Linked DNA regions of Caenorhabditis elegans. The protein of the gene in region 1 purifies or fractionates together with the protein of each later gene. This does not show direct contact. Each region holds a gene or a part of one and is shown on either strand. Other genes may lie near its edges.

Region 1 (15,695 bases):
TGTTTGTGAAGCAAAAAAATTAGCTAGTCCTGCTTATATATAATCCATATTTGCAGTCGACATCTTGCTGGCCAGTGTTTGACAATGGTACCTGTGTCGCATGTAGCCCAACAACAACAAGTTTTCACGAAACATTTAAAATGACATGATTTGTAGCCTCTTCTTGTGACATATAAATTCTGTGCTCTGTTGCTTAATAGCTTGCTTTTCTTTCAGGGTTTGAAAAACGACGAAGAGGTAACAAATCGTTCTTCTTGAACTTTAGAAATTTTCACCGTTTTTTTGTCGGTATCAGCATTTCTATTCATTTCTTCGACTTTTTCTGAGATTGTTAGGCATTATTTATAAATATCATTGCAAACTCTAGTTGGAAACTGAAAAAAAAATCTTGTTGGAAACTACTCATAAACTACTGCTACAGGGAGCATAAAGATTACCCGAGTATTCCGAAAAGTTAGATGAATACGGTTCTGAGTAATTGAGAAGATTGTCCACGATAACAAAATTGGGTCAGCCAATCTAAAGGCTTACTAGGGAATGGCCAGCTTAGGGGTGAGGTACCTAGAGACGCCACATATGCCAAACGGAAGCTGAGATCATTGGCTACAAGAATATGCTTTCAAATTCTGCAACGGACCTCTGGGAGTCTGGAAATTCTTGTCTGAAATTATGCTTTTGAATGCTCGAAAGTGGTAAGAATTTAGAATTTATTACAGAAAAACGTGAAGTTGAATACCTAGAAAAGATGAAAATGTGTTTTGATACAGTGCATACAGTACTTGTTTCAAGTATAAAACTAATTTTATTAATTAAACGTTTTTCTGTAATAAATTCTAAATTCTTACCACTTTCGAGCATTCAAAAGCATAATTTCAGACAAGAATTTCCAGACTCCCAGAGGTCCGTTGCAGAATTTGAAAGCATATTCTTGTAGCCAATGATCTCAGCTTCCGTTTGGCATATGTGGCGTCTCTAGGTACCTCACCCCTAAGCTGGCCATTCCCTAGTTAGGAAAACACCATTCCTAAGCCTAACGAGAAAAATGGGTATCACGTTTAATATATACGGATAAATTTATGGAAGTGTAAATAATTTTAAAATGGCGCGGGTTTAATACACAATTTCTTTTGGAAACTTTTCAAAATTTGATCACATCTTATAGAAAGTTATGATTTTTTTTTATTTTTCGAAAAAAAAAATTGAAATTATTTGTAAGGGGTTCGAAAAAAATTTGTTCGAAAAAAAAAGTTATCAAAAATTATCAAATATATTTACAGAACGGATCTAAAACAACAACTAATTATTTTCACCAGAACTTGAATGAAAGGCTAATTATTAAGGTTTTTTTGGCACTATCAGCATTTTCATTTATAACAATCCTTTCTGAGATTGTCAGGTATCATTTATAAATAGCATTGAAAACTCTTCTTGGAAACTGAAAATTAATCTAGTTGGAAACTACTTATCAACGACCGCTACAGGGAGTAAAAAGATTTTATGTTTTCAAAAATAGTAATTGGATACAGAGTATTTCAACTCAGAGAGTCAACTCTGAGAACTTCCGCCCAATTATTTACTGAAGTTAAGATAGATGATTTGAATGCTATTCAACAAAAAGTCTCGTTATAATTTTGTTTCTTTTTTCCATTCCGTTTTTTATGATTCACATTTGATGGGATGATTGAATTTAAGAATTTATGATAACAGACGGTGTTTCTCGAGTTGACTGCAGTTCCCCGGTGTTCAGAGATTTTAGTTAAGTCAAGTTAGTGTTCTAGATGTTCTCATCAAATAGTAGTGTAGTTTAAAATCTAGTGATCAGTTGTAAAGTTATTTTCTATTGATTTGGCACAACGATGACGAGTTTTTAGAATGTTTATTATATTTAATAGAGATGTGATATAAATTTTGGTGTGCTAAGCCAGGTTAAACTGAAGCTTTAAACTTTAAACTTATACCTATTTTCTCCAACGCAATCGAAAACCAACTTGTACTGTTATGTAATCCTTCAGTCTCCGCCAACGAAATTCATGCGGACCCAATTGGCACATTGCCAACCCCGTTTGTTTCTTTTCTCTCTCAGCCTCTCGTGTGCTTTCTCCCAACGGCAGATAACCGAGGACTGTGTCGCGCCTCGTGATCGCGCCCATCATGGCCCCCCTTCAATGATACTCGCAATCTACATGCTCAGTGTGATGAGGGCGTTTGTCTCTCCCTTCCTTTCAGCAAGCACACATTTGTTACACACTTTTCTCAATTTAAGGTTAATGGTTGAATATTTAAAACGTGGTTTCTTCTTCTAATTTTTCATGTTTATGGTAAATTTAGTTTACATCAAGCCGAATATCAGAAATAATCAATGCGACTACTAAAACTCATTAACAAATGCTACATACCTGCAGCTCAAAATCTATGGATATGCTGCTTAGCGTATTTCTATCTCACGCTTTGTTACTTCCATTTTTCAAACCTCCAAAAAATTCCGTTCCAAATTCAAACATTCTCTCAAGGTCGTTCTTATGCTTCGCAAAAATATTTTTGATTCGTAAAATCAGATGGCGCTGGTCACCCTGTCTTTCACTTTCAAGATATTAGTATAGGCAACCTTCCGGATTTTAAATATAAAACAGAACCTGGCTAGGGTATATTTGTAATTTTTATGTCGTGTCAGTAAAGACAGACATCAATAAACCTCTAAATCTCTTTACAAATTGTGCTCACAGTCGGTACAGACATAAGGTCGTATTACGTATATGCGCCACAACCATTGCCCCTTTACAACCATAGCCTCTTCACATCTATGCTTCATTTTCACTCATCAAAGCAGCTTTCATCATTTTTTCCAAATTTTCTCTCAGTTCTATCATCGTTTTGATTGAGGTTCATTGTTACAAGTTAGCATTTTATTTCAAATCATGAGTCTCCCGGACAGTGAGACCCTGATGAAAACAGTGCTCGAAAAGTATCCAGACGCTACTGATTTAAAAGAAGACATTGATGTGCATATGGAAGAGTTCAAAGCTTTTGAGTATCGCTTCAAATTGACCAACGTTGTTCTCCGGGCTCTTACTCTTCCCATCCCGAAACTTGAAGATGAATCAGAAGTGGTGTTCGAAGGAAGAAGTATCACGTACCACTGGACTTTCTGTGAGTTTTGAAACGGGGAAAATCTTTGTTATTTGCCTTGAATAGTTTAGATTTTTTGAATATGGTCCGTTTTGTAATTGAAAAAACGTTTGCTCAAAAACACTCCAAAATAAAAGTTAAACAAAACTATACGTTCGACAATCAGCAAAACATTGGGAAACTGATTTCCGGTTGCCAAAAAGATGCCGTAATATCTACAACCAAGAATGCATTGTTTTCTTCAAAATTAGAATTTTTTGTTCCAGGGACCGGAGACGACGAGAAAAAAATTGTGTCCTGGGTGAATTATAGCCCGAAGCCAATCGCTATTCAAACGTTGAAAAATAAAAGTTCCCATCGAAAGTAAGTGTTAAAGAACAGTTACCGCCTAATATAAGAATAATTTATAAGAATAATTTTGTCAAGTTTGTTTCAGGAAAGACATTACCTACAGCCAGTATATTGATATCAAAGGCACCGTTGAGCCAGGATTTGTCGTACCAAAAAACTACTTTGTGCCACATCCTGACCCAGACCTCCAACCAGAGGATGCCGTTGTTCACTACCAGATTTTGACCAGCATGAAAGATTCCATCGAGGATATGCCTCATTTGATGTCGGGTAAATACAAAAAATGACAAATAATAATTGACAAAATTTTGGAAACAAAAAAAAATTGGCAAAATTTTGAAAACAAAAAAAATTGTTCCAGAAACAAAGCTCGATTGCGAAATGTACATAAAGGACCGCTTTGAGGAGTTGCTCCAGGTTTGAGAATAAGCATGTGTTAATAGTTTAAATGTATTCTATATATTGTAGGAGTACCAAGAGAGCAAGAACACATACTACTTGGCCCGTGCCGACTTTTACCGCAAGCTGAAATTCGAGCACTTGGATCTGGATCATCAGCTTCTTATCTCCGCAGCCAATCGAGATTGGATTGACGGATATTTCTTGGAGAAGGAGCTTCGCGCTTCATATTCCCTCAAAATTGATAGTCTTGCGTGTTGATTTTATTTGTATCCTGAAATATCACGTTGTTGTATATTACCATCTGAATTCAATTTGCCTTGCACTTTTTTCTATACTACTTCTAACATTCATATCCGTACATGATATCAGTTTGAATGCATTTTACGAGTTGTTTTTTTTAATTGGTGCTAATCGACTGTAATAAATCATGTTTAACACATTTAACAAAGCCTGTTCCATTTTTTATTATTTTGTAACTATGTTTTGACATATCTCAGAATTATTTTACATGGAATTCTTAACATTTATTATGATAATGATTACCAGTTTCCAGAAATGCCACCTATCATTCCTCTAAACCTGACGCTGTCTCATATATTGGGACGAATTCAGCGAAAGTATCCAAACGCGACCATCGATGCTCAGAGAATCAGTGCTCATATGGGTGAATTCAGAGTTCTGGAATGTTATTTCAATATGACACGCGTCGCCATTAGAGCAATAACTTACCCGCAAGATGAGAATGGAAAAGAATCATGTGCTTCTGGGGAAGTACATTATCACTGGGCATGCTGTAGGTTTTTGAGACAGAACAGTTGACACTGCCAATATATTAAAAGAATATGTGTTTGTAAGCTGTCGTCCAGAACTACACCGTTATCTCTCCACTACCGGCAATTCTAAAAAGCAATATCAAAACAAGTTGTCAGGTAGCTCCTCGAACAACTAAATCAATAAGTACATAGACGATTTTAATTACTATTTTACTGTTTGAAATTGTGTTTTGTTTAGATGAGAAAATATTAACATTATATTGACGGTATTTATGAATAAAACACATTTTAGAACATTCACAATTGCCTTATTGTTTATAGAAAGTATTACGAAAATAGACGTAGAAGATTGTTACTTATAAATCTTTTATTTTCCTAATCAGTGCTTCACTCAGTGTTTTTTCCTGAAAAATGATTAGGAATACAAAACTAATAGGCAACAGTTTTCAGTTTATAATGTTACGTTGAGCGTAATTCAACATTTTTCAGTCTGCGGTGTATCACCTAATCTTCAAGTTTACATCATACATTACAAACCGAGTGGAAACAATGTTCAACAAAAGAAGAAAAACAACGAGAACCTTGCCGTCAGAAAATGAGCGGCTAACCAATACTGTTTCAAAATTTTCAATTGTAGATCTCCTAACTATCATCTCTACTGTCCGTATTAACTTTGATTTTTGTTAAGTGTTTCCCATTTTAATTTTATTTTTAAGCAAATAACATTATGCAACTTTCCGGTATAGATTTTAGCGATCAAAATTTTCTTGGAACGTGTTCTGATAATTATTTTTACTAATCAAAATAAATGCTCCGTCAGTTTCTGGCTTTGTGTTTAAGATTTTGAACATCGGGTATGCAATTACAACAGAGTTCTCCAGAAAAATGCTTCCTTGAATAGATTGTCACAGATATATGCTTTGAAATGAAAATATAAACGAACACGTTTCGAATATTTGAACTCTAGGCAGGTGAGAAAACAAGAGCAAACATCTTCACAATTTAATTTTTAATACAAACTCAGATATGTTGCCCCGTTAGAAATTTTGGAAATTTTGGAAATTTTGGTACTTGTGTAATATGCCCCCGCCATTTTAAGAATTAATTTTTTAACTTATAAAATAAAAAAGTGTACATTTTTTTTGAATTTTTAGGCTTAGGAAAACATCATTTTTAAGCTTAGCGGGTATCACGTTTAATTGAAACGGATAAATTGATGGAAATTTGATTTATTTCTAAAATGGCGGGGCATAATACACAAGCACCGAACTTTTTACTGTAGTAGGTTTAATAACAAAAGGGTAAAAAATAATTAAGTTTCAAATATGACCGGTTTGCATTCTTATTATAAACATAATGGGACCCACATGACCATTCCAGAATGAGAAATCTGAAAAACTTATCAAAAATGCTTTTGGCAGGAAAAATTTCAAAATACTACAGGGTCAAATATCTGAAATTTTGTAAACTTGTTTCTGTAACAACGGCTGGTAATCAATTTTTATTAATTTAAAACTACTTTTTGTTTTTTGTTATTTGTTGTTCATTAGCGGTTTCAAGATAGTTTGTGCACTTTTGAAATCAAAGAGCATTAAAAATTTGGGGATTATCGTTAAAATAGCGAAATATGGTTCATTGCTCTTTTAGGCTGAGAAAAGTAACGAATTTGGAAATGAAATCTTTTGAATGAAAATGTATAAAAATTTATTTCAGCGAAATTTGACAGTATAAAACTGACAAATTTTGAGGTGTTAGCGGAAAACGGAACTTTTTGTGAAAACTTTGAATTGCCATAACTTTTTTTTGAGGATTACGTTTCATCATAAATATCTGTCGTCCTAATTTGTGATGCCTTTCTTTAAACTTCCTGATATATTTCTGATTTACTATAAATTTATTTCTGTATTTCCAACGTAAGTTGTCAAATGCCAGAATTGTTGATTTGACACCCTCATTCAGATTTTAGTTTCAGCATGCAATTTCCAGCTTGACCACATTGCAGGTGCTCTCACGACTAACGATTACGCTTGTGTAGAGAAAAGTGTGGATCGAATCAATCTTTTTGTTCCCAATAAAAAAGTAATAAAATTATTTTGAGCATTTTTGGGTCTATTTGTTTCATTTTCTACTTTGCAACAGTTCCATTGTTTGGCTACATTCTATTTAATTTAAAAAGATGAGTTTTCAAGTTTCCGTTTTGAAGTTGTGAATATTTGAGTGAACCAGGAAAAGTCGGAGGTGAAAATGAAGAGTAAAGTAGGAAACACACTCTTTATTTTCAGCTGTGCTCCTCTCATTTTTTACACTACACTCTACATACATTTTTAGCGTTTTGCTGTGCATTTCATTAAGTTTCTTTCAAATAGATTAAAGATCATTCAGATGTGTAGTGTTTTAATCGAATATAGACGACTTAATATTGATCATAGTACACCACTTTAGACGCATCTGAATTTCTGCCAATGTTGCTTTATTTAGGGAAATGTTCAAAGATCACGCCGCCAATTTTTGAAACTTGTTTCTTTTTTACTCTGAATTCATAAATGTTTATGACAGATTCAAGAGTTCAAGAGGCTTGTTGTGTGGTTTCTAGAATGTTCTATTTTAAGTTGTAAAAAAACGAATTTTTGAAACGTCTGAACTGGATTCCTGATTTCCTTATGTAATTCTGAAAATGCTTCAAAATACATTTTATGTATTTTTTTAAAATTTTGAGTGCAAAAGCTTATGGTTTAATTGGTGTTCAATTAATCCTATATAAAACATTATAAAAGCTACGTTAAAGGTGCCCAAACGTTACAGCAAAATTTTGAAACAAATTTTTTAATTCTTTAAAACTACAGTCAAAATGAGTTAAAATAGTTGGTTTTCGAATATTCTATGGGTTTAAAAATGCAACAATGCTCTAAATTTCTTAAGAATTGCCAAACTTCACAATTTACCAAAACTTCGACTGAAAATTTTGAAAAATCTTAATATTTTCGAGGGCGTTTTTCTAATATTCGGTCACATTTTTAACCACTCATTTTATATTGAATGAAATGTCTTGCAAATTTTTCAGACCAATTTTTTCTAGTTCAATGTACTCTTCTGTGGATAAATTAATTATAGGGACCAATCTGAAAATTTTATCTTCCAATGACATACATTTGTTTAATTCAGAAATCAGCCCAAGTAAACTCTGTACTGGAATTTTTTGTCTTGAAAGATTTTTGATTTGCTTTTCTTTGCACCTTTTTTTTCAATGTAGAAGAATTGTTGTTTTTAATGGACAAAAACAGAGTTCCGTCATCATTTTTACTGTTTTGGAATTTGTCGTGATAGTTTTAAGTCTTCCTTCAATTAAAAATGAGCAAATCTAAGCTTAAACATATTTTCACAAATTTTTACATTTTTCATTGCATTTCGATTTTTTACATATAATTTCAATTAGAAAGCTCATCCAAGAACATCAATTTCCATGTTCTCTCGTTTGCGACGTATCGCCCACTCAAAGAACATAACGAGAAAGAGAAGCCGTGGCTCCACCCTATACACCGTGATTTGCTCTCCGCATGGCTTACCCATTTCAAACCTTTAGAGGCGTCGTCGTTCTTTTTGCCGCCCTAATAAACATTTCCTCTTTTGGCAAAAAAGAGCAGCTAGTGAACACAGAGTACACAGTTTCTCTCTTTTTTTATATATATTTTTTACTTCGTCATCAACTATTATTATGTGTCCTGTGCTCACCTTTTTTGTCTGCAGCTGTCCACTTTTTTGCTTTTTTTCTTATTTTAAAAATAAATTATTTCAGAACCAAATATGGAGCAATTATTTCAAAAATACGAGAAAAAATTGAAGCTCCAGAATGTACAAGCACGCATCTGGGAAGAAAAACATACATATATAAAATCCGGAAAAGCTGTTTTCAAAGTTCCAAACCCGCCAAAACAAGAGAGAACTTTCCGTTGGGTAATCGGTAAGACTTTTCTTTCTTTTTTAGAGTTCTTTTTAGACGCTTTATGAAAAACTGCTATTTCCGGTAGTAATCTACTTTTTTCCAGAAGCTCCGGCGAGCAGCTGCCAGACATCACGTGGATATTCTGTCAAATTCACACCCAGTCGAGTGAAAAGAGCAAAAATCCCGGAACGAATGTACAATATGAAACGATGTTTGTGAGTTTAACTTTTATTCATCTATGGAAGACGGAAGTCAATATTCCAAAAATATTCCACAGTGATATATAATTAATTACAACATTCACGCAGCATTTTCCATGCTAGAGATCGTGAATTTTGTTCAACTAATGTTTATGTATCACAAGTGCCTGGTGCTGAAGCATAGTACATCAACATTAGATGAAACGTATCTAATAATAGTGTACTTTCAAGCACAAAGCACATACTTACTCTCCAGACCTCTGCAACTTTCCGTCTCAATGGATTGCAACTTTTTTTACTGGCGCGAGGGTTCTCATTGGTTTCTTTTATTCATTTTTTAGTGCAATGTTTGGTTTGAAGAACTTTAAATTGGTCACATTAAAGGAGGGTACGGTCAGTGGAGAAATTATAAAAATTTTATCCATGATGCGAAAATGACCAAATATCATAATAAACATTTTAAACAAATTTTGGATTTTTAAAATTTCAAGTCAAATAGTGGTGAAAACTGTGTTTGCGCTACTTTTCGTTTAAAGTATTCTCTCAGCCCCATGAAATGTTGGAATATGAATATTTCAAACATAATTCGAACATACAACTGGAAGGCAACTTTTTTTTTATTGATCGTTGACTTCCAACAAAAAATTGAAAACTGAGCTATCACTGTTTTAACAACAAAAAACATTCAATTTTTTTTTTGAAAAAATTTATGATGGAATTTGATTATGTTAGCACCACAAGAATAGTCTAGAACATAACTTTTTTTCAGAGTAGAATATTTTTCACAGGTAAATCACCGCCTTGAATTATGCTTTTCTACACATCACTTTTATTTTTAAAAAATACATCATCGCTCGTTTGCCTCGCATTAGCTAACATAAGTCTAGCAGGAAAAAAAAGAAGAAACGTTGACAAATTTTTTTGCCTGGGTCTCTCGCTATGCTGTTACTCGGTTCACTCGTAGCGGTCGTCCATATCACTGCTGTCGACAAGAGAGAATAACATGACTGCTTGGCGCAATGGTAGCGCGTTCGACTCCAGATCGAAAGGTTGGGCGTTCGATCCGCTCAGTGGTCAAATTTTTTGTTTTTTAAGTAGTAATATAATACAATTTAATTCAAAATTACACGCAAAAATTTAATAAAGTAGTCCAAAATGCTAATCGTGTGAAAAAATGCCTTCTGGTAATGTATTTCTCACACGAAAATTTGTTGAAATTGGTTTTTGACACAAGCGAATGTTGCAATTATTTTCTTGATTTTTCTACAAATTTGAAAATCAAATTTCACGACTGCAAGTATAACATTAAAAAACAATATACCCAAGCCCACAAAAAAACGTATTCTGAAAAATTGGTACAATTGAGAAATAAAATTTGAGAATCCCTTATCTTTAGAAGTTGATCTCTTGATATTGATACAACTCATGCTAGACAGTGTCTACTCTGCTCAAAAAGTCAATTAGTAATTTGATCCGCTAGCAATCTAACGCATAGGATGCACCCGCAAACTGAACACCTATATCCAGACAATTGTTGCGCAATAATGTCTAAGTCTCCTGTATTTGTGTGTATTTTACGAAACATGTAACGGATAGGAATTTTGCTGACCTCACACGTATGGATGATGTGCAACAACTTGCGATTAAGGATAGGATATGTGTCAATTAGAGCAAATGGATTATACTAATGAAAACAATTGAAGAGTTTTTTACCTTTACGGAAATCTTTATAATTAGTTCAACTTGAACAACGGGAATTTAATTTTTTTTTTAACATGGGATAAATGAAATAATTAAGATGAACAAATTTCAGCCAACTCCGCCGAGACAGTCGTATTGCATTGTCAGATGCAATTTTCCAGCCGGAAAAGAAGACAAACACGATGGATCATTTATTTACCGCTTCTACAGCTCCGGAATACTCGGAGAAGGAATTGCGACAGATAGAAGATTTTCAGTCATTTTTTGACAATTGGGATGATGATTACTATACGGAGCAAGGTACTTTTAGAATTTCTGAAATATTTTTACAAAAATTACTATTTTTAATTCTAGAAAAATATCCAGTTATATATGACCTCATAACAATTCAAATTTCAGATTGTCTAGACCTGATGCAACAAGCTGTAAATGGAAGAATCGAAGTTTATCAAGAGGTTAGAAAAACCATTTTAATAGAAACCTAACTTTTAACAAAGCTCAATAACTTTAAATCTTCTTAGAAAAATTTTTGTTGAGTAAAAATAAAAAATAAACACTAAAAAAACAAATATATGCAGAATAATCAAAAGAGTTTTGGGTCAAGATCGGAACATTAATTTTTTCCCCGTTTTCACTTATTCTTGTCAAAATGTATTAAACTGAAAAACCACGAAGTTTCGAGAATTCCAAAGCACTCAGACGAATCTCTTCGCTGTGAAATACATAAAATGGTTACTTGAAAACAATTAAATTCTAATATTTTTAATATGTAAAAAAAATTTGATTCTTATTTTCCAAATTTAGCAAACCTCTTCTGAAATCTAGTAAAATGGTATCCGATTTTTCATAGATTTGGAGTTTAACTTGAACATATTCAGTTTGTTGAATTGAATCGGTACCGCAGAAAACATTTCAGGTATACAAGCAAACTTCCAACCCAATATATCTAGCAAAAGCAGTTTTTATCAAATTTCTCGACTTTGATCGACTCTCTCCACTTCATAAAACGTACTTGATGCTCAGCGAGGAATGTGAATTTCCAATGTGCTATGTAGAAGGAATTCTCCGTCGTCATTATGAATAATTGTTTTCTGGCTTTTCATATTATTTTTAGCCATTATTATTTTTTGTTGCTTAGATGACATTTTGTTTATTGTATTTGAAAACCAGTATTTTTTGCTCTTTTCATTTTGATTTCATTTTTATTCCGTTCACATTAATAGTGTAATTGGGGATTTGTTCATGGTATTTCATATTTTTAGTGTCCTGGAAATCGTATACTTCATATTTATAAAGATGTATTTTAATGATTTCTGCATTCGTATCCACTTTAAAGTATATAGCCAGGTTCCGCTCACAGTAAAAGAATCAAGTATAACGCAATAAACAGAGTTCAACAGTGTTGAGCCACGCCCACGTGACCTCTCTAAGGTAACAGATATACTATAGACAAACTCCGCCTATTATGTCTAGAGCAGCTTTGTACCGTATCATTTGCAACAGTTGCTCTCGCTCCATTGTGACTTTTCTGAGCTCAAAATTCTAACCATTGTTATTTCAATTCGTATTCTAGAATGCTTCCGGCCGCGAATGCTAGCAACAGCCTTCCTCGTAAAAGTATGAGAACCGTGAAGTCATCCAGACGTCGCAGCCTTGCTCCAAATGAATGCTTTAATACTGAAAAGGAGAAAGGAAACGATCTTTTCTCGTCTCTTCATCGAAAAATTGTCAAAACTGTCAGGAGATGTAAGTAATTATTGGTAGTAGTAAAATATGTAATAGTTGAAATAAAACCAGTAAGTATGCTTCCATGTAGATTTTTTTTAAATTCATGTGAGAGTTGCATTGAGTAGTAAGTATCACGCATCCAAGAATATATGAAACTTATGTTTTTGTGGAGTGGGATTCTTTTTCATTGCCGTTACTAACATTATTGTAGACTTAAGTATAAGTTCTTGAAGCTAATGCGCTCAAAACACGACTTTTTAAAGGAGTAGTAATGGTTCGGACAATTTTGAACGTAGAGACGCAAAATAGGCTCAAATAAACTGAATTCTGAGGCATCCCAAAAATTCTTCAAAAATATATTATGCCGGTTTAAAATAACTGAAAAATTAAGATAATTTTTTCTAAAATTTCATATTTTACCAACTATTCCGTTTCGCAAGTTTTTGAAATTAAGTTTTATTTGATTATCTTTTTTTGTATCAATTTCAGTGATTTTCGGTTACTTATCAGTGTATTCAAATCAACTATTATACGTGAGATGAACAACCAAAATATATTTTGAACAAATGAATAATAATTTTCAATTTTTTGTTCGTTTCAGCACATTTTGCATCTATATATATACGTTTGAAATACCCCATTCCATTACTCCTACTTTGAGCCCAAATGATAATTGTTCCCAATGTAGTAGAAGTGGTGCCGTAAAGAGTCCGTATTGAACGAACATTGGCCGAAAAAAGACAGGCGCTACCAGTCCAATCTGAAAAAAAGTAACTCACAATAATTCAACTCAAATAACTTGCAGCTATCGCTCCTGAACAACTTCGTTTGAGAACTGATGAAGAGAGAAGAGACCACGAAGCCTGCGATTTGGAAAACCAGAAAAAATTAGACATTTGCAAGGACCAGTACGAAGCTGAGCTTGTAATGTGCAAAACCCAACACCAAAATGAACTGGACGCGTGAAATTGAGCAATACAAACAAGTCGTTGCATCATATAAATTGAAGATGAAGCGGATGGAAATGAAGATCAGCGACATATCAGAAGAAAAACGTCAATCATCGATGCTATTCGATCCTGCCGGAACTCATTCGGATGACAAAGAAGTTTGTGAATACTGGAGAATGATTAATTATGTGGACCAAAACTTCAATTTGATTGGAGGAATGATAAAAATGCATCAGTACTGTTTGTCTGTGAGTATTCCAGATTTCAGTTATTAAGCGAGAGCTCATAAATTATTAATTTTTTGCAGGTGTACAATAAAAGTGGATCTGGATACTTCCGTGATGGAGCAAACTTCTTCCGAAATGCGGATCCATTGAATCTTTCCAACGATAGCAAGATTCCCATCCAAATGGTTTGCATGAATCTGTGGACCTGCGAAAAAATCGAAATCTGGTATCGAGATTTTTACTCGCATCGTTACTTGGAGCAAGTCGATGGCAAGGAAAAATACGATGAAGATCAATATACAGTTTTTGACCAGTTGTTTGACAATCTTGGCAGTGACGCGAGCACATTGATGGAGCAACAAATCGAGCTCATGAGAAATTACTGTCAAGCGAAGGCTGAGCTTACAAACATGGTGGAGTTCCAGAGAGGCGTTCGGTTTTGGAGAATGGTGTCACCAATTCATCTGCCACGTAACTATCAGCTGGCGTTGATTCTTGCCAAGCGTAATGGATGGGTGCATGAAGATGTGGAGCGTTGGTTCAGAGTCTTGTACGACGAGTCATGCTGTGTTGGAGCCCGAGGTCGTGATGTCTATCTAAATTTCGGTCGTTGAAAAAACTCAATTACACACTTGTGGTTTAAAAACTCATTTATATTGTCCCCCAATTTCACTCAAAATTACTTCTCTATAAATTAATCTAATTATATATTATCACTTATCCTACCTTTTTCATGTGTGTTTTGTCTCTATACAGTTATTCTGGTTTTGATTTGTTCAATTTTAACATGTATTTTTACTTACCTGCCACGGTCATTCTGTTTCGTCATTAATATTAATTTTTAAATTTCAGCAGTGGTCATTTTTCATTTTAATAAAAATTTTTTTTAAAAAAACATGAAAAATGAATCATTTCAATGTTCACTGTTAATACCGTTTTGGCAACATTCCGGCACGTCTGTGCTTAGAAAAAAACATGTTATGATTAAATTGATTAAAGATTATTGATTAAAGAACTACAGTTTTTCAGTTAATTTCCATGTTTTAAAATAGGTATCCCAGAGAGGGTTTTAAGATTTCGAAAATATGTGCTTCAATCATGGGGCGCAGCATTTGCTAATTGGCAATTGCAATTTCGGCAAGTTTAGCATTTGACGAGATTGGACTACATTTTCGAGTTTAGAAAATCACCGTTTTAATGCAAAAGCTGTGAAAAACAAGTCACGGTAAATTTTGTAATGTTTATATTTTATTTCGTCACGGTAAGTAACTCATTAATTAGAATTCACTTTATTCTGTTATACTTTTAGCTAGCTCCGATCTTTGCCTTCAAATAATCCATCCGTTCCCATGCTGGAACTCCTTGAAACTTCAGAAATCCCTAAAGACCCTTTTAAAAATCTTATTATTCATGTATCCTCATATTTGCATAACAATGCACATATTGATTTTAGAAGTAAAGACTGAAATTTCGCAATTTTGGTTGGAGAGGGACTTTATTTGAAACAAGGGATGAAGGATATTAAACGTAAAGTCATCGTACGGGCTTAGAAACAGTGTTCTACTACCACGTGAGGTACTACTCGTTTGAAAAATGGAAGAGAATATCAGAAAAATGAAATAGAACTGAGATAAGTAAAAGAGGAAATGTTGGATGATTGCACAACATTGCAACAGAGGAAATGGAAACAAAGAATCATCAGATTCTGAGCATGAACAAGGCTATTGATAATATTTTGATTGAATGATGATAAGAACAGTTTCACAACAATAGCAAAGATTTAGACGCTGGCATATCCTTGTCTCTTTGCACGAGCACGTCCGATAAGGTATCCGACGAGCACAACCACGACGAGAGCCGCGAGGCAGGCTCCGACGACGATTGGGACAACTTCGTTGGTGCGAGCATCCAAATAGCACACCTCGTAGACTTGGTCAGTTGGGAAAACGGTGCCGTTCATCTGTGCAAATGCAATCACGTTGGATGTCTTGATGTCAATGGTAGATCCTCCGACGAGTCCAAGCTTGGCGGTGGAGCACTGAAAATTTTTGAGTTAGGCAAGAAATAGTGAGTGGTAACAAGACCCCAAATGCTATAGCAGAAATGGTATTACCTTGTAAGCGTTGGTCTGAGTTGCTGTAACATCTCCGGCAGCATTGGCGTCTCTGACAAACTTTCCAAAGTATGGGACAAGATCCGTTCTCTGAGTGGTGAGGGTGTAGTCAATGATCTCAAAGGCGACGTTGCTAGATGATCCGAACACGATATCGAGCTCCCACTCTTTGGCGTAACGGGCA
Region 2 (17,836 bases), on another chromosome or scaffold:
CGCTGTAACTTTGCAGGAACTTGATATTTTTTGAAAATTAAAAATTTATTCTGTCCGTAACAAATTGTATTTTGAATTTTATAACAAAACGAACATTTAGTGGCCTAGAAACCCCAAAATTTTGGGTTTCTAGGCCACTAACTTCAAATTGTCATAACTTTGCTGAAATTTTACTTTATTTTATTCAAAAATTACCCTGTACGTAATGAAACCTGATTTTGAATTTAATAACAAAATAAACATTTGGTGGCCTAGAAACCCCAAAAACTTGGGTTTCTAGGCCACTAACTTCAAATTGCCATAAATTGGCTTAAAATCAACATTATTAATTTTTCAAAAATTAATTTACAGTCTCAATTATTTTTTATTAGAGTACTTTTGCATAAATATAAAGTTTGTGGTCTAGAAATCCAAAAATTTGGGTTTCTAGGCCACCAACTTCAAATCTCTATAACATTCCTAAAAATCTATATTTTTTAGTTTTCTAAAATCCAAGTAACTTTCCAAAATTGATATATTCACAAAATAGTTTGACAATATAATTTGGTGGCCTAGAATTAAAATTTTCTAGTCCACCAACTTCAAATAATTTTTTTTAGTTTGGACTTCGATGAGGAGCCCCAATCGCGAACGGAACACGAGAAAACGTCGGCTTTCGGGTACCAGGTAAAAAAAATTAGTTTTCGATAAGAAAAAGTCTAAAATCCCGCACTTTTCACACCAAAAACCAGAAAATGCCAACTTTAAGTAGCTGAAATTTCCAATTTGGTACCAGAAAAAGAGAAAAGAAACAAAAAAAGAGTATTGTTTTGAGTGGGCCTATTTAGTATGCACATCGGGAAGAAAATTGGAAGAACATTGAAAAACAAGTCATAAAATCGGGCGGTGCATAGGAAAAAACACCATAAAATTGGTTTTGGCAACTTTTTTGGAGATTTTGGCCAAGAAAGAAAATAATTAGAGAAACGAAAAAACTTTTACTATATAATTTGAACATTTTTGAATATTTTGTCAGTTGAAACTTTTTTGATAGCTCTTACTAATGCAGAGATACGTTAGTTTGAAAAAAAGTGCGGTGAGAGAGCGCGCGAGGGGAGAGACGCAGAGACGCAGGGTGTCTCGTCGTCTGCGTCTCTCACCTCTCACCATTGACTTTGAACGCTTGTATCTCTGTTGAGAGCAAAGCTTCTATAAAAGTTTAAAAAGAGAAAATTATCAGCGTAAAATTCTGCGTCGAATGGTACAACTTTTGAAAAAAAATGAGTTTTTTTTTTTTTTTGTTAATTTCAAAAAAATTTTCTCAACATTTTGACCAAAAATTTGGTTTTCCTTTCAGCACCACGGATTTTTCCGAGCAGAAATCCCAATTATGCCACTGAGCCTTGCGGTGCTCTGCTGCTTCTTGAATATGCTAATCCCGGGGCTCGGAACGTTTTGGGCGGCTCTGTCGGTGCTCTGCTGCTCGGATTCCGGGAGGAGCTCCACTTTCAGATGTTTTATGGTTAATTTGTTGGCGGCTATGTTGCAGGTACAACTTTCAGGCATTTGGTAAAAAATTGAATTTTTTTAGACATTGCCAAAAAATGATCGAATTTTTTTTTTTCCAATTTTCTGGAAAATTATTAAATCTAATTGTATTTTTGAGTTTTAATTTAGACAAATTTCCACTAAAGCTAACAAATCTCCGTATCATAGTTGTTAACTGGGTCGCTACTCAGCCAATTTACCAAAAATTTTCTAAAGGCTGAGCTAATGGGAAATATGTGCAATTTTTTTGATGATTCTCAAAAAATTTGGCAAAAAATCCAGAACATCTTTGATATGTAACTCGGGAAGGACACTTTTTCTTTAAAAAATAGTCAAATGTAACTTAATTTCCCCCTAGGGTGTAGTTTCATGAACTCTTTGCTTTTTTTCCCATAAAAATAGATGTTTGAACAAGAGGAAGTAGAGTTCCTTGACGTAGTGCACTCCAAAAAAGAATGTGTCCCAAGAGCTTTTGGAAGGATTTAGAAAAAGTTGCAAAATGGGTTACTAATTCTGTTTTGGAAGACTTTTTCTCAGGGAGAAACTGTGACGAGAGAGCTATCTAAAAATTACCACTTACTAAAAATATTACTGAGCATAAAATTACAAGCATTTTGTTAATTGGCAACTCTTTTGTAGCCCCCTTCACTACAGAGATAGAGTAGTTTAAAGTTAAGAGCAATCCAAAAGAAGAAGGCGCCAGAAAAATTGTCATAACTCGAAAATTAATTAAGCTATCAAAAAACTGTCAACTAACAAATTATTTATCGTAAAATTTCCTACATTTTGTTAGTTAACAAATTTTTGATAGCTATCCTCACTGCCGAGATACAATGGTTTGAAAAGGAGAGCAGGGAGACAGCGCGCGAGGGGGAGAGACGCAGGGGCGCAGGCTGTCTAGTCGTCTGCGTCTCTCACCTGAAACTTTGAACGTCTGTAACTCTGTGGGGAGCAAAGGTGAAATCAAGATTTAAGTGCAAAAAATGATCATCGTGAAATTCTGCGTCGAGAGGTATTGTTTTTGAAAATTTTTGAAAAAAAAAATCCAAAAATTTTTTTTTCAATTTTTTTTCAAATTTTTAAGAAATTTTTTTTTCAGTTTCTCCTTTTCCCTATTCTCGTCGGATTTCTCTGGAGTGTCATTTGGGGTATCATGTTTATACAAATCGCCAGAAATTGGTTCATTTCCGACTTACACCACCGGGCGGACTTCCTGAGCTGGTGCCCGTGCAGCAATTGGTGAAAAATTATCAAATTAAAGATTTTGAGTTAAAATGTGTTAGTTGGCAAAAACTGTAATTTCTACCATGACAATAACGTATTAGTGATGTATTTTTTGAACATTATGTGTATTTTCTTTCTTTTTTTTTTAACTTTTTTAAAAATGTTTGAAAATGTTTTTTTTTTGTTTTCAGTTGAATTTTACTTGTTATTATGATAATAAAATGTCGAAAATATGAAGTTTGTCAGTATTTTCAAGAGAAAATTTTCTAAAAAATTCCGAAAATTTTTTTAATTTTTTATTGGTGCCGATGGCTCAACTGGTAAGAGGGATGGCTTTGGGAAAAGGTCTCGGGTTCGAACCCCAGAGCGGTTACAATTTTTTTTTATCTTTTTGTTATTGTGTTTTGTCAATTAGTTTGTTAATAAGAATATTATTTTCCCAAAAGAAATTTGAAAAAATTTGTTTCAAAATTTTTTTTCTCAAATATCAAATTTTCAAGCCAAAAAATTTCCCTAATTTTTTCCAGAACAAAACTCAAAAACCACCAAGTTCGACAAGATTTTCCCATCACAACTCCTACTATATATCATGGGAATATTCAGAGCCAAGTTGCTCAGAAATGGCTCCGACTCCTGTACCCTATGAATATGTGAATTTTCAGCCGGAATACGCAAATTTTAAATATCATCGAGATTATGTGACGTTTCTCTACTTTTTCACATTTTTATGTACCATTCCATCAATTTATTGTACTGTAAGAATGTGGATTTTCAATTTTTCCGCGGGATTTTTGAAAATTCGCAAGGGAATTCATCCGTATGTCTATAAGTCGTTTTTGTTAATGCAGACATGCAATTTGGCGTATACTGTACTGGATTTTGCACTGGTTCGGATTCCCTCAACTTCCATAGCTACAATTTATTTTTTGAATATGAAAAGCGACAGTATTGTTAGGTACTATATTGCTTTGTACTACTGCTTGGACTATTGTTGTCAGTTATTTACAGTGGCGTTTTGTTTTGGAAGAGTTGTAATTTTAATTAATAGCAAAATTAACTTGAAAGTAGGTTCTTTTTTTATGAAAAAACATTTTTTTTTTTTTTTTTGAAATTTTTTTTTTCGAAATTTTTTTTTGAAATTTTGAAATTTTTTTAGAGATGTCGAAATGTATTTTTTGGTTGGACTATACTTGTTGTGATCTTTAGTATGGGAGCAGCTTATCCACATATCACTCATGGTGCAATCGCCATGCAATTGGACGTTCCTTTTCAGTATGGCGCGATTATTTTGACAACTGAGTTTGTCATTGGAAATGTGGGTTTTTAGAGAAATTTTCGAATTTTACAGCAATCTCAAAGGGTTTTCACATTATTTTTCGAATTTTTCATAAAATTCTCGTCAATTTGGACCCCATATTGACCAGTTTCCGACAGATTTGAATTTTTAAACAATGTAGCGATGGCTGAACTGGTAAGAGGAATAGTTTTGGGTAAAAAAGTCACAGGTTCGACCCCCAGTGGTGGATAAAAGTTTTTTAGCGAGTGGCAATATAGAAAATAGTGAAAAATCATTTTTTAATTGGATTTTTTTTAATTTCAAAAAAAGCCCAACGCAACTTTTTTTTTATTTTAAAAAAATTTTCCAGGGAGCTCAAATAATTGGTGGGCTCATTTTCTCAACTTTAATTATAATTTTAATTGTCCTTCTGTGTGGAATAGTAATTTTCAAGGTGCATCGTCTTCGAAAATTGTAAGTTTTTCGGTTTTTAAATATTAAAAATTAGCACTTTTTCCAGAAGCCAGGCTCTCAACACAACTCAAAGGAAATCTGCGGAAAGAACTCTTACAGTAACCACTATTATCATTATTGTACCATTAATAATGACACAAATTTTAGCGGTATGATTTTTTTCGTAAAAAATTTTGAAATTGAAAATATGAATTTTTCAGGCCTGCAGCTTAAACCCGTCGAGCTTAACCGGATACGTCATTTTGCTCCGCCCACTTTTTATCGATTGCCGTGTAAATATCGTGTAATGCTATTTTTATTGGAATCATCCGGTTTTTACGAAAAAGTGAATTGAAAATAATTCTTAGATTTTTTTTTCAATTTTTTTAAATTTTTTTAATCAAAAAAAATTTCAGAATTTTTATTTCCCAATTAAAAAAATTTTTGAAGCAAATTATGGATTGTAGGTCATTCTCTCGGCATGACATCTTTCATAAAATAAGTCCAATAAATCATCATCGATTTCTCCAAGCAATATGCCTCTCTGCTGAATTTCTCGGAACGGGCGGAGCAGACCTGGAAATTCGATTTTTTTTTATTTTTTCGAAAAATTTTTACGCAGTCAGCAGGATTCGAACCTACGCGGGCAGAGCCCAATTGATTTCTAGTCAATCTCCTTAACCACTCGGACATGACTGCACGGGCTGTGAAGCAGCTTCATGGGCGTAGAGGAGAGTGGGGCAGGCGCAGAGGGTGGGGGAGGCTTCCCACTATGTTGCTACTACTAAGCGAATATCTCTGTCATCTTTGAAGATATCAAAAAGTTGTCAACTAACAAAATGATCTACACATGTTTTGAAATATATTGTTAGTTGATAACTTTTTGATTACACTACACCGAAAAAAGTTACACCAGTTAAAGGTTATTGATTTTAAAAATTTGATTGTTTTGTTCAAACATTTATAACTTTTCAGTAATAAGCTAAAATAATGTTTAAATTGTCAAATTATAAAACATTGTTTCATAATTTTTTTGTTAGTTGACAACTTTAAAATAACTTACACAGGAAAAAAGTTATACAAGTTGAAAATTAAAACATTTTTCAAAAAAATTTATTTTGGCATTTTTAGTTTAAACGTTTATAACTTTTCTATGAATCTTGTTATTTTACATTTGAAAATTTTTTTATATCAAAAAATATTTAATAACTTTGTCAGTTCAAAATTTTTGAATAACTTGAATGAGAGGAAAGTTATACAAGTTTAAAGTTAGAAATAAATTTATAAAAATATTTTTTTTTGCCTTTTGTCCAATTGTCCCCCTAAAACCAACCTGTTCTATCATTATTTATTCCAGCAGCCAATATAACAGGTACTGTCAAGTACATATGAATAGATAATAGCACGAGTACAGTATTCCAGGTCTGCGGGAGCCGCCGCCCACACAAAATACGCAGAAGCCGCCGGGAGACACTTCGGATTTGGGCTGTGTGCATTTTTTATTTGGAAATATCTGAAACGGGTATTTAGTTATAAAATGGGCATTTAAAAAATAATAGTTGAAAAAAAAATCATGGAACAGTGTTTAAAAATTGGAAAAAAAAATTTGAAATTTTGAAAAAAAAAACGTTTTTTTAATTTCTGAGATTTTCACTTATAACTCGAACATGGGCGGAGATAGAGGAAATTTGTCAGCTAACAAAATGTTCAGCATAAAATTTTATATTAGAAAATTTAAATTATAATTAGAAAAAAAAATTATAAATTATATTTTCCCATGAGTTTTAGAAGGAACTCAAAATTTTAGGTACACTTTAATTTGGCAATTACCTAAAACGTGTGCGGAGCTAGAGAAAAATTGTTCACTGGCAATATATGCAATATCAAATTTTACATTAGTTATAAGAAATTTAAATTTGAAAATAATTCAAAAAATTGGAAAAAATCATTATTTTTTCAGAAAAAAAATTTATAAAATACCCACTTTTTTGTAAATTTATATTTTCAGGACAACGACTTTCACAAGTATCAAAATAAGAATTAAATTTGGAAACTAACTATATAATAATCCAAATCTATAGAAAAAAGTGACCCAAAAACTGGCGTTCACCCGCCGAAAGAGCCCAAAGAAAAAAAAAAGAAAATTGAATAAAAATTTTCTGTGATTGTTATTTTTTCTCTTCCTTAAGCCGAAAACACCACGAGCTAGTCAATAAGCTGCTCGAAAATACCCGAAAAATGAGAAAACTGCGGGTAGAGAAAAGACAAAGTCATTTCCGATTAGTCAATGTTTCAGTGGAGCGTGAAATATGAAATATGGGGCGGAAATGTGCTGCTGAATGGGGAAGGAAACGGGGTGAGGGGGTAAAAAATGTTGAAAATGTTCACTAAATATAGTCTTTAAAAAGTAATTTTTTAAAATAAATTTTTGAAAAAAAATTGAGAGAAAAATTTTCATAGAAATTTTTTTGAATTTTTTTCCAGAAACCTCATAGATTTTCAGGGAAAACCGAGTTCATATTTTTTCAGTAATATTTTAAAAATCTACACCACGATCTACCCCTTGACCGCAATTTTCAGCCGCCTAGCTCAATTTTGGGTAATTTGGCTGAGTAGCGGCCCAGTTAACCACAGGGATACGGAGTTTTGTCAGTTTTAGAGGTACCGAGCTAAAAATTGGTTTGACGACTGGAAAGTTTATAAGGACTTCAAAAATAATATATTTATACTATTAAAAAACAGTTTTTTTTATTCAGAAAAAAAACTTTGAAAAAAAAAGCGTAATTTTTTTTGAATTTTTTTTTTCAGAAAACTCGTGGGTTTTCAAGCAAAAAAAATTTGTATTACATTTTAGTAGCATTTTAAAAATCTACGCCAAAATCTACCACTTGACCGCAATTTTCAGCCGCCTAGCTCAATTTTGGGTAAATTGGCTGAGTAGCGACCCAGTTGATCATTGTGATACGGAGTTTTGTCAGTTTTGAAAAAAGAAGGCTAAAAATTTTTAAATAAAAGTAGGGATATGTTTTTTTTTAACAAATTGTTTTAGAATCTTCCGAATAAAAATAATGGTCTCCGTATTTTATTTTTCAAAGCTTCATACTTTATTCGATATGCTAGATATATGTAAGAAATTTGGCTTAGTTTAATATAATTCACGTGCCTACGTGCCTACCGGCCGCCTATTTGATACCTTATCATGAGCACTCTTCAATTACCAAACATCTCAATTAGTCAAACACGTTGCTCTTTGATAAGAACCAATAAAATATAATTCTCATAACCTCTTTTCGGGTTCGAAATCAATAAATTGTTAATTTCGATAACACATTTTCAGTCATCATTCTGCTGAAAATGCAGGAAAAAAAGAAATTTGTGTTGACTGAAACTTTTGAAAAACTTTCTACTATCAAGGAAGACGAGTTAATTACATGTTTGCCTAGAGAACACTTTGATATCCCGTGGTGAGTGTGTTATTTTTTTAAATATATAATTGAACATTTTTTTGTAAAAAATTTAAGTTTCCCGGCATACTTCTAAGTACTTCAATCATGAACAACTTTTTATTATTGGTCAATGGTCAAGTCGCCAGTCGCCAGGGTGCCAGGCTGTCCCATTACAGTTTGATCTCCAAAAAATGCGGGAATTTTTTTCACTTAAAACAATATGACGTCAGCACGTTCTTAACCATGCGAAATCAGTTGAGAACTCTGCGTCTCTTCTCCCGCATTTTTGGTAGATCTACGTAGATCAAGCCAAAATGAGGCACACTAACACCACGTGTTCAATTTAAAAATTTCAAAATAATAAAACAATGTTTGAATTTTCCACCGGAATTTTTACAGTGAAAATTAATTTCAGGGCAATATCCATCAAGAAATTGGATGGAAATTTCTACGTATACTTGTGTTGTGAAAAAGAGCTTGGATATCCCAGTAATTGGTCAATCGAGTACAAGTCTACAATCCAAATAATGAAACCAGGAGGAATGGGTGTTAGCAGAAATTGTAAAGGGATTTTCGACAAACCATACAACAAAGGCTGTATCATGATGAAGTGGAAAAGTTTAGAGAAGAATTACATCGCTGACGATAAAATTTCTGTGTCAATTTGTGTGAAGATATTAAGAATAAAAGGTTAGTCGGGAAACAATACGTATTGTGAAAATCTTCATTTTCATTTGAATTTTAACGGATATTTATTAATTATTTGGTTTTTTTTTTTGAAAAACGCAACTTGCAGGGATTTCCAACCCTCCTTTGTTGCCTGAAAAGAAATTTGTGTTAACTCACACTATCAGGAATGTTTCCAGCATGGAGGAAGGAAAACTATACAAGGGATCGACAGAAGAGCGATTCCAAATTCCATGGTAACAGTTTTTCTTACCTTTTCTGCATTCCTCATGGCAAAATGATACGTGTGAATTACAGTGGTGGCCAAAAGTATATGCGTTTTTGGTTTTTTGCTAATTCTTCATAATTTTTAAATGAGTATAACTCACAAACTAAGCACTTTGGAGAGAAAAGTTTATCTGTTCAAATGTTGCTTAGAATCATGTCTACATGATAACATATAACCCAACATTTCAAAAAATTCAGGTCAAGAGATACAGCAGGAGACACCTCGCGAGTCCATTTTTGGCTATTTCTCTTGAAACGCCTGTAGCTCGAGAATGAAAAGTTTTCATGAAAAAAAATGTTTTAGTAATAAAACAATCTGCAAATATTTTTCTATCACATGCATATAGTCGTTTTTTTATCAAACAACCTGTAGAATAGAACGGTAAGTTTAATCTCGCGCTTCTCAAAGCACCGATTTGACCAACTGTTTAAAAACCAGGTCATGTTTTTCAAAAATATATTTTTGTGCATATATTTTAAATAACTAGTTGTATAGTTGAATTTTATTTACATTCTAACTGAAAAGCAAGTGTTAGAAAAATTTAACCACCATTTTTAAAAATTGTTCCCGACGGGTGCTGGTACTCCGCGAGTTTAACCTTACAGTTCTATGCTACAGGTTGTTTGATAAATAAACGACTATATGCATGTGGTAGAAAAATATTTGCGGATTATTTTATTAATACAACTTTTCTCATGAAAATTTCTCATTCTCGAGCTACAGGCGTTTCAAGAGAAATAGCCAAAAATGGACTCGCGAGGTGTCTCCCGCTGTATCTCTTGACCTGAATTTTTTGAAATGTTGAATCATGTGTTAGCAAAAAGACAAGATTCTAAGCAACAGTTTATCAGTTAAACTTTTCTCTCCAAAGTGCTTAGTTTGTGAGTTATACTCATTTGAAAATCATGAAGAATTAGCAAAAAAAAACAAAAACGCATATACTTTTGGCCACCACTGTATTACAGGGCGATTTCTTCCCAAAAAGAGAAAGGATATCTCAAAGTATACTTAAGCTGTCTGAAAGAAGTATCAAACGCCAGTGAATGGTCAATTGATACGGTGTTTGAGACAAAGTTGGTGTCTGGAAAAGGGAATAACTTCAGTCGAGAAGTGAAGCACAAGTTTGAAAAGCCTGACAGTTGTGGGCCTGAGGACTATATTAAGTGGGAAGTGCTGAAAGAAAACCACGCAGTTAATGATAGTGTTTGCGTTGAAATTCATGTCAGGATTGTCAAATATACTGGTGGGTTTTTTCCTCTGGACCTTTCTTAATTACTAAAAAAAATCGCAAATAAGTTGAGTTTTACAAAAACTAAGGCTCCCATGCGGCGTCGCTCAAACGTCGCACCACGCCGCCCTCACGCCGCGATTCAAATCTTTAAAGCGATGCGCGGAACCCAAAAAGTGTCGGGCGGGAGCCAAGTTTGCACCAAATAGTGTGACTGGGTATGTCACTATTTGGTGCAAACTTGGCTCCCGCCCGACACTTTTCGGGTTCGGCGCATCGCTTTAAAGATTTGAATCGTGGAGTTTGAGCGACGCCGCATGGGAGCCCTAAAAAACCAAAGCAATATTTTTTCTCAGATATTCCCTGTGAAGTGGTGACACCTGTGAAACAATTTGTCATAGCTCACACTTTTAAAAATATATCTACTCTGAATAGCAAGCCGTTTGGCAGAACAGAAGAACGTTTCAACATTCCATGGTAAGTTTTAGTGCCAAAAAAAAACGAAATTTGACGAAAAAAAATGTTTCTTCAATATTTTTTCTTCGGCCTAAGTTTCAGCCTAAGCCTAGACCTAAGTGTAAGCCTAAGCCTAATCCTAAGATTATGCCTAAACCTGAGTTTAAACCTGAGCTTAAGCCTAAGCTTAAGCCTAAGCATAAGCCTAACCCTCTTAAAAAGTTACAAGAAGGTTTTTCCTTGCGCTTGGAGCGCAAAAGAAAAGAAAAAGAGCTATTTAGACTTAGGGTGCCCAACTGGAATAAAACATTGGAAATCCCAATCCAACCAGCCTAAGGGCCCGAAAAACATACTAGGATGCCCAACTTGAATAAAATATTGGAAATCCTTATGACACACCGGCGGTATGGCGCGGCTTAAGCCTAAATAGCCACTTTTATCAAAATACATTTGAGCTCGCTTTGCGTTTTACAATAACTTCTCAGGCAACTCAAAAGTAATCTGTGGATATTTTTCAGTAATCTATGAAAATACATTTGAGCGAGGCGGTTGTAAACTAATCGTTTATTAACAAAAATATTTAAAAAATATCATACACCTTAGAATATCACGCCTTAATTTAGAACTTATTTTTGGTTCATAAATGTGAGAGAAAGAAGAATAGATCATCGGAATCGGAATTAAATATCATCAGAGTAATTATATTCATCAAATGTCTCACTTTATTGGAGGGTTAATTTGATCAATATAAAATTATTTCTCAGTAATCTGAATAAAGATTATCATTAAGAAACTTAGAAATTTCGTAATATTTGAAGGGATGCGAGCAATCTCTACATATTTGCGATCAACCTTTGGAGATTTTTTTTTAAAGTAAAGTTATAGAATACCAATATTCAAATTCCTATCTCATGGGAAGAAAAGTTCAAATTCTGTACCTGCGTATATTTTTTTATAACTCCGTTCTTCCCACAAGAAAGGCCTTCTTCCCATGAGACAGGAATTCAAATATCGGCAGCATTCATAGGTACAGAATTTGAACCTTTCTTCACATGAGATAAACATTTTATATTGATCAAATTAACCCTCCAATAAAGTGAGACCTTTGATGAATATAATCACTCTGATGATATTTAATTCCGATGACTAATCCATTTTTCTTTCTCTCACACTTATGAACTGAAAAAGATTACTAAATTAAGGAGTGATATTCTAAGGTGTGATAACATATGATATTTATTTTTAAATTTAAATAAAGTTTTTTTTTTAATTTTTGCTAAAGAACGAATAGTTTACAACCGCCTCGCTCAAATGTATTTTGATAAAAGTGGCTATTTAGGCTTAAGCCGCGCCATACCGCCGGTGTGTCATAAGGATTTCCAATATTTTATTCAAGTTGGGCATCCTAGTATGTTTTTCGGGCCCTTAGGCTGGTTGGATTGGGATTTCCAATGTTTTATTCCAGTTGGGCACCCTAAGTCTAAATAGCTCTTTTTCTTTTCTTTTGCGCTCCAAGCGCAAGGAAAAACCTTCTTGTAACTTTTTAAGAGGGTTTCATATATTTTATTAAAATCGGGGCGAAGCCCTGATTTTAAATCCATATTGTTTTTTTTTGTCTTCCACTTGCAACACCCACAGAAGACTAAGAAAGAGAATGTGTTCTTTCTGATGAAGTAAAAATCATCATAAAATCTTGAAAACTGAGAGCAGGAGGTAATATTTGAATATATTAGGTTGTAAATGTGTGTCTCTCTGTGGGTGGGGTGGCGATGTGTTGGCAGCCAGCCCTTCAACGAACTGTATCTCCCGCCTGTATCTCCCTTCAAAGTGAGAATTGGGTTACAAAAATTTGAGGGAATATGAAAAAAGGTGTGAGGATTTCAAAAATGTTATTGTTGAAACACCAGACCAAACCACTTTTTCTGTGCAAGAGGCAAAAAATTAATTTTTTGAAAAATTTCAAACTGGCACAAAATTTTTTCAAAAACAAATTTTCACAAATTGTTAATAGATTTCATTTTTTATAAATATTGTTCATTGAACACGAAATAGAAAACAAAGATTCATCAAAAAATGAGTGAAAAATCGCAAAAATTCGAAAAAATCAGTGCTGAAAAACTCGATTTTTTGGCGGTGCTGAAAAAAATTTTCACTAAAATTTTTTTGAAACTCAGTTTTTCGGATTTAGCGACAAATTTTAAATCTATATTAAAAAACAAAATTAAAATTGATCTCAGATTGAGTGAATAATAAACGCTCAAAGTTGAAAAATGAACAACGCAAAAACGGCAGTAACTTGCTTCAAGGTCGGTTATCTCAGTGAGTTTTCACTCAATTTTCGAAATTTTTTTCCTCTATCGCTTTAAAAATATTTGTAATTTCATTTTTTTTCCTCAAAATCAAAATATCTCAAACGACCGCCATCCAACGAGAAGGGAAAAAAAAAGTTTTTGGAAAAAAAATCAAAATTTTTTTTTCTGCCTTGATTTTCAAAATGAAAAAATCACTTTTTCGGAATAATTTTTACTTTAAAATGTACCTACGATCTTTTTATACAACAATTTCACCTTGGAACCAAAGATTTCTCAAAGACAACAGCGCACGAAGCGGTGGTTTGCGAAAAAACACGAAAAAAACACACCGAAGTGGGAGGGGGGAGGTCAAAATTGCGAATTTGACTTTGGAGCTCTCTAAAAGAGCTCATAGCTGATGGATCTGGATGATTTGTATGTTTTTCGACGCATCTCGTCGAGTACTATAAACTGCTAAAAAATCTCGTAAAAATCGCAAAAACTCGAATTTTCCTGCAAAAAAAAGAGGCGAAAAATGAGAAAAAAAACGTGATTTTTGGAGGATACTCGAAAATACTCTTTATATCTCGGCTCAAAGAGCTCCAATCTTTCTGAAAAAAAGCATACAGAGATGGGGCAAGCTTCTTGAAGAGACAGCAAAAAACCGCATCAAAATCCATCCACCCACCGTCAAGTTACACGCGCGTTTTCAAAATGAACAAAAAACAGGGCATAAAAAAATTTAGACGCCCGCACCCGGACTCGAACTTTTGTCGGATTTTGAAGCTTAATATCTCGGCTCCTGTAAATCGAAATTGGCTCAAAATTCACAAGAAACCTTATCCTGCTACGGTCCTGCTGTCATTAAATTTTCGTGAGCTTAGGGAGAAAACTGACAAAACGCCAAACTTTCAAATTTTAAAAAATAGTTGAGGGTCATTTTGAAAACACCTTAAGCTCCATAACTCGGCGAGTTTTGATGGAATCAATTTGAAATTTTACACGGAAGCTTCTTAGTGGCCTTTACGTCTCTGTGTTAAATTTCGCTTTGATCGGCCAACGGGAACCCTTTGAAAAATGAAAAAAACGCTGTAATCCTAACCCTAAATAGCGTCAGTGGCTAACGCTCCCCCACTGACGCCAAGCCTAATAAAAAAAAGAGTTAAGGACGTACATATATGTTTAGGAGACTATCCATCCGGCGTGATGCCAACGGATTTTTTGGAGCTGGCCTGTACTGTGCGGAACAAGTTTACAAAACTCACAAATGGACAATATCGACGGATTTCGAAATAAAGTTGTTAGCTTCTAGCGGGAACTCGTTGGTCAAAACGGGCAAATTTATGTTTGAGAAAACAGGATTCGCCTGGTTTGACCGTTTTCTGACTTGGAAAGACTTAGAGAACGGATACGTGGTCAATGATAGTGTGACTTTGGAGGCGCATGTCAAGGTTTTGGGCGTTACAGGTAATATATGTAGAGCTTGAAATTTGAAATCACTGCTTGGAATTTATTTAGATTCTCCTCGTCCAAACACTCCAGGTCTCGAGTTTACATTTTCCTACCTTGTCAAGAATGTGTCACGCATCAAAACGGGCTTCACGTATAACAGCCCGACTATTGAAAGATTTGGGATCCCGTGGTTAGTCGAGAATAAGTTTTAGAGCAAATTTCCCGCCAAAATGACAAGTTTTTTGTTGGGAAAATTGAGAAATTTCTGAAAACTTCGTAAAAAATTTTTTAGAAGTTGCTTTTTATAGGAAAATAGCAGTCAACGAGAAGGACGGATTTCTTATTTTAGCACTAATTTGTGAAGATAACAAACTTACTTCTGGAAAACGCACAATAGAAACAAACTTCGAATTGAGTCTGAAGTCACTGAATGGGAAAATCTTCACAAAGTATGCAGAGAATGTATTCGACGTGCATTATGTATACCGTTTCGTGCCTTTCGTAGACTTGAAGGACGTGGAGCTGATTGATGGCAGGTTCATTATTGAGGCTTTCATAAAAATTATGAAAATTAATGATAATTAGGCGATTGATTGAAATAAAGTTTTAAAATTTTGCATTTTATCGTGTATTTTAGTAATTTTAAATCTTGATCACGATTTAAATCGTAATAAATACAATACAATACAATACAATACAAATACAATTTGCTTCAATGAAACAGTTTTAATGATTCATGTGGTGTCAGAGTGTCCCATTTCGGTTTGATCTACGTAGATCTACCGGAATGGCGGGAGTTTGTACGGAGAATTCTCAACTTAATTCGCATGGTTAAGAGCGTGTGCTAGCGTCGCATTTTTCTGTGTAAAAATTTCCCGCATTTTTTGTAGATCAAACCGTAATCTGACAACACCTGCTACGGAAAGATATTGTTTTTGAATCTTCAGCCAATTTCCACCATACTTAGCAAGCTCCGTATCACAATGGTTAACTGAGTCGCTACTCGGCCAATATCCCAAAATTGAGCTAGTGGCCTAAACAAAATTATAGTGTGAAATTCAAAAAAAAACCATACAAAGAATACAAATTTTATTATCTCAAAACCTATACGTTTCGCAGTGGTGTGGAAAATACATTTTCTTTGGGGAAAAAATCGATAAAATACAAAATACTTGGGGGGCTGGGACGGAATATTCAAAATAAATATTAATTTTTGCATTACTTCCTCTTCTCGAATTCGGCTTGAATTTGTTCAATCGATTTTCCTTTGGTTTCTGGCACGAATTTCCACGTGTAGAAGATGAAGAAGGCGAGGAATCCGGAGAAAATAAAGAATGAGTATTGTTGCATGAGATTCTGGAAGAAAATTTCGGTTTTTAAACGGAAAATGTGAATTTCAAGTGATATGCAAGAGCGCTCTATTGAGCAAAATGCAAATTGAGGTTTTGAATAGTTTTTAGAGCTAAAAAGACTTGACTTTACCGAAATTGAAGGAAAATAGCAGTTTTTGACCCAAAAATTCAAATTTCCCGCCGACCGCACTATGCAAATGCGCTCCAATGAGAAAATGACAATAAATTTGTTTTTTGTGCGGCTCTGATGCTAATTTGGTGTTTTTTTTCGCAGGAAACCGCATTACTTCACTTTGAAACAACCAAAATTTCAATTTTTATCTAAAAAATTTGAATTCCCCGCCGACTGCACTATGCAAGTGCGCTCCAATTAGAAAATCTGCCAGAAAGCTCAAAATTGGTAGTTTTTGTCAGTTTTTTGTGATAGAAAATTTTCTAAAAATCTAGCGCATATTGCAAGTGCGCTCTAATGATAAACAAGTTAACATTTTTAATTTTACGAGTTTTCATCATTTTTCAGAATGAAAATTGCATTTTCGTCGAATTTTTCCGGGAAAAATATAATCTAGGCTCAAATTTTCTGAATAGTCCAAATTTTCACACAAAAAACTCCGAAAACTCACATTGATTGGCAAGAAAGTGAGTCCGACGAGCAAATTGGCGGCCCAGTTGACCATAACAGCGATGGAGTTCGCGTTTCCACGAGCCGACGAGTCGAAGATTTCGGAGACGAAGAACCATGGAATGGCTCCGGGTCCGGTGGCAAAGGAGATGACGAAAAGGAGCACAAATCCGATGGCTGAGTAGCTGGCCCACTGGAAAAAATTTTTAGAATTTTTTTTTTCAAAAATTTTTTTTTCGAAATGTTTTGTTTTTGGTATTTCTGTACAAACCTTGTCTCCTCCACTGTTCTGAATAGTCAGCGCACCAACGAGAAGCAGTGTAGACACGAACATTCCAGTCAAACCGGCCAGCAAAAGTGAGCGGCGGCCGAATTTCGGGTGGTCCACAAGCCAGACCGAGATCAGAGTCATAATCACATTCACAGCCCCCATACCAATTGTCGCGTAGAATGGCTCATTTCCAGTCAAACCGGCTCCACGGAAAATTACAGTCGAGTAGAACATTGCGACGTTGATTCCGGACAGCTGTTGGGCGAGCATCATCATAATGGCGATGGACATTGGCCAGAGCAGGGCTCCCTGGAATTTTTAGAGGGTTATACGTGTAAAAATTGAAATCTACGGGTAAAGTTACCCTATTTTGAAAAAAAAAATTAAAAATTTTTTGAAAAAAAAAATTTCAAAAAATTTTTGATTTTTTTGGAATTTTTAGATTCTTTGTTTTTTTTTTCAAACTTGCCATCAAAAATCACCAACAGTCAAAAAATTTCGCCAAAATTGGCTAAACTGTAGTGAGATTTTGTTTCAAGAAAATTTCAGAATTAAATTTTTTTTTAAACAAAAAATTCCACTTCTTTAAAAAGCAGTACAAATATCACATTTTTGAATTCCCCAAACATTTTCCACGCGTCACATCAATTTTTAGCTCGATACCACCAAAACTGACAAAACTCCGTATCACAATGGTTAACTGAGTCGCTACTCAGCAAATTCACCAAAATTGAGCTAAAAGGCAGAAAATTCGCGAATATGGGTAGATCAAAGAGATTTTTTGGAAATATAGACAAAATTTGAGTAAAGTTTAATGGTTTTTCTAAAAATCGACTTCGGTCTTTTCTGGAATTTTTTTCGAAATTTTTTTCCAAATTTTCAAAAAAAAAGTTTTTTCTAATTTCGTGATTTTTTATTAATAATCAAATTTAGCATCAAAAACTGCTCTTAGTCAAAAATTTTCAGCGCATTCCCACTAAAACTGACAAAACTCCGTATCACAGTGGTTCACTGAGTCGCTACTCAGTCAATTCACCAAAATTGAGCTAAAATGCAGAAAAACCGCGAATATGGGTAGATCAAAGTGCTTATTTTAAAATCAAGATGGCATTTTTGTGAACTTTAATAGTTTTCAAAAAAAAATCGAATCGAAATTTTTTTTCAAAAATTTTTTCGAATTTCATGATTGTTTATTAATTATCAGATTTTACACTAAAAACTACCCATAGTCAAAAAATTTCAGTCAATTTCCACAAAAACTCACAAAACTCCGTATCACAGTG

The links.
Region 2: the proteins of C03B1.2 (region 1) and math-45 fractionate together in Caenorhabditis elegans (co-fractionation; one large-scale study listed by BioGRID). This does not show direct contact.

Annotation. Positions count from the first base shown.
Region 1 is NC_003284.9:6,361,581-6,377,275, forward strand, and holds C03B1.2 (uncharacterized protein), read left to right. Parts: upstream 1-8,436; 5' UTR 8,437-8,453; coding exon 8,454-8,610; intron 8,611-8,695; coding exon 8,696-8,807; intron 8,808-9,795; exon of another isoform or gene 9,796-9,884; intron 9,885-10,605; coding exon 10,606-10,793; intron 10,794-10,892; coding exon 10,893-10,948; intron 10,949-11,409; coding exon 11,410-11,577; 3' UTR 11,578-11,803; downstream 11,804-15,695. Other genes in the region: C03B1.4 (uncharacterized protein), read left to right, coding at 2,916-3,147, 3,393-3,489, 3,563-3,747, 3,839-3,894, 3,946-4,137; C03B1.3 (uncharacterized protein), read left to right, coding at 4,435-4,672, 5,142-5,251; C03B1.17 (CHCH domain-containing protein), read left to right, coding at 12,068-12,239, 13,027-13,187; C03B1.1 (uncharacterized protein), read left to right, coding at 13,171-13,419, 13,479-14,012; LAMP family protein lmp-1, read right to left, coding at 15,179-15,436, 15,512-15,695.
Region 2 is NC_003280.10:1,507,378-1,525,213, reverse strand, and holds math-45 (MATH domain-containing protein), read left to right. Parts: upstream 1-7,759; 5' UTR 7,760-7,834; coding exon 7,835-7,944; intron 7,945-8,341; coding exon 8,342-8,616; intron 8,617-8,722; coding exon 8,723-8,849; intron 8,850-9,846; coding exon 9,847-10,124; intron 10,125-10,465; coding exon 10,466-10,586; intron 10,587-14,042; coding exon 14,043-14,323; intron 14,324-14,374; coding exon 14,375-14,498; intron 14,499-14,616; coding exon 14,617-14,893; 3' UTR 14,894-14,927; downstream 14,928-17,836. Other genes in the region: Y51H7BR.7 (Protein stum homolog), read left to right, coding at 600-666, 1,337-1,528, 2,627-2,770; Y51H7BR.8 (ABC transporter permease), read right to left, coding at 4,935-5,056, 5,814-5,976; fdgt-1 (Facilitated glucose transporter protein 1), read right to left, coding at 15,527-15,664, 16,284-16,475, 16,554-16,862.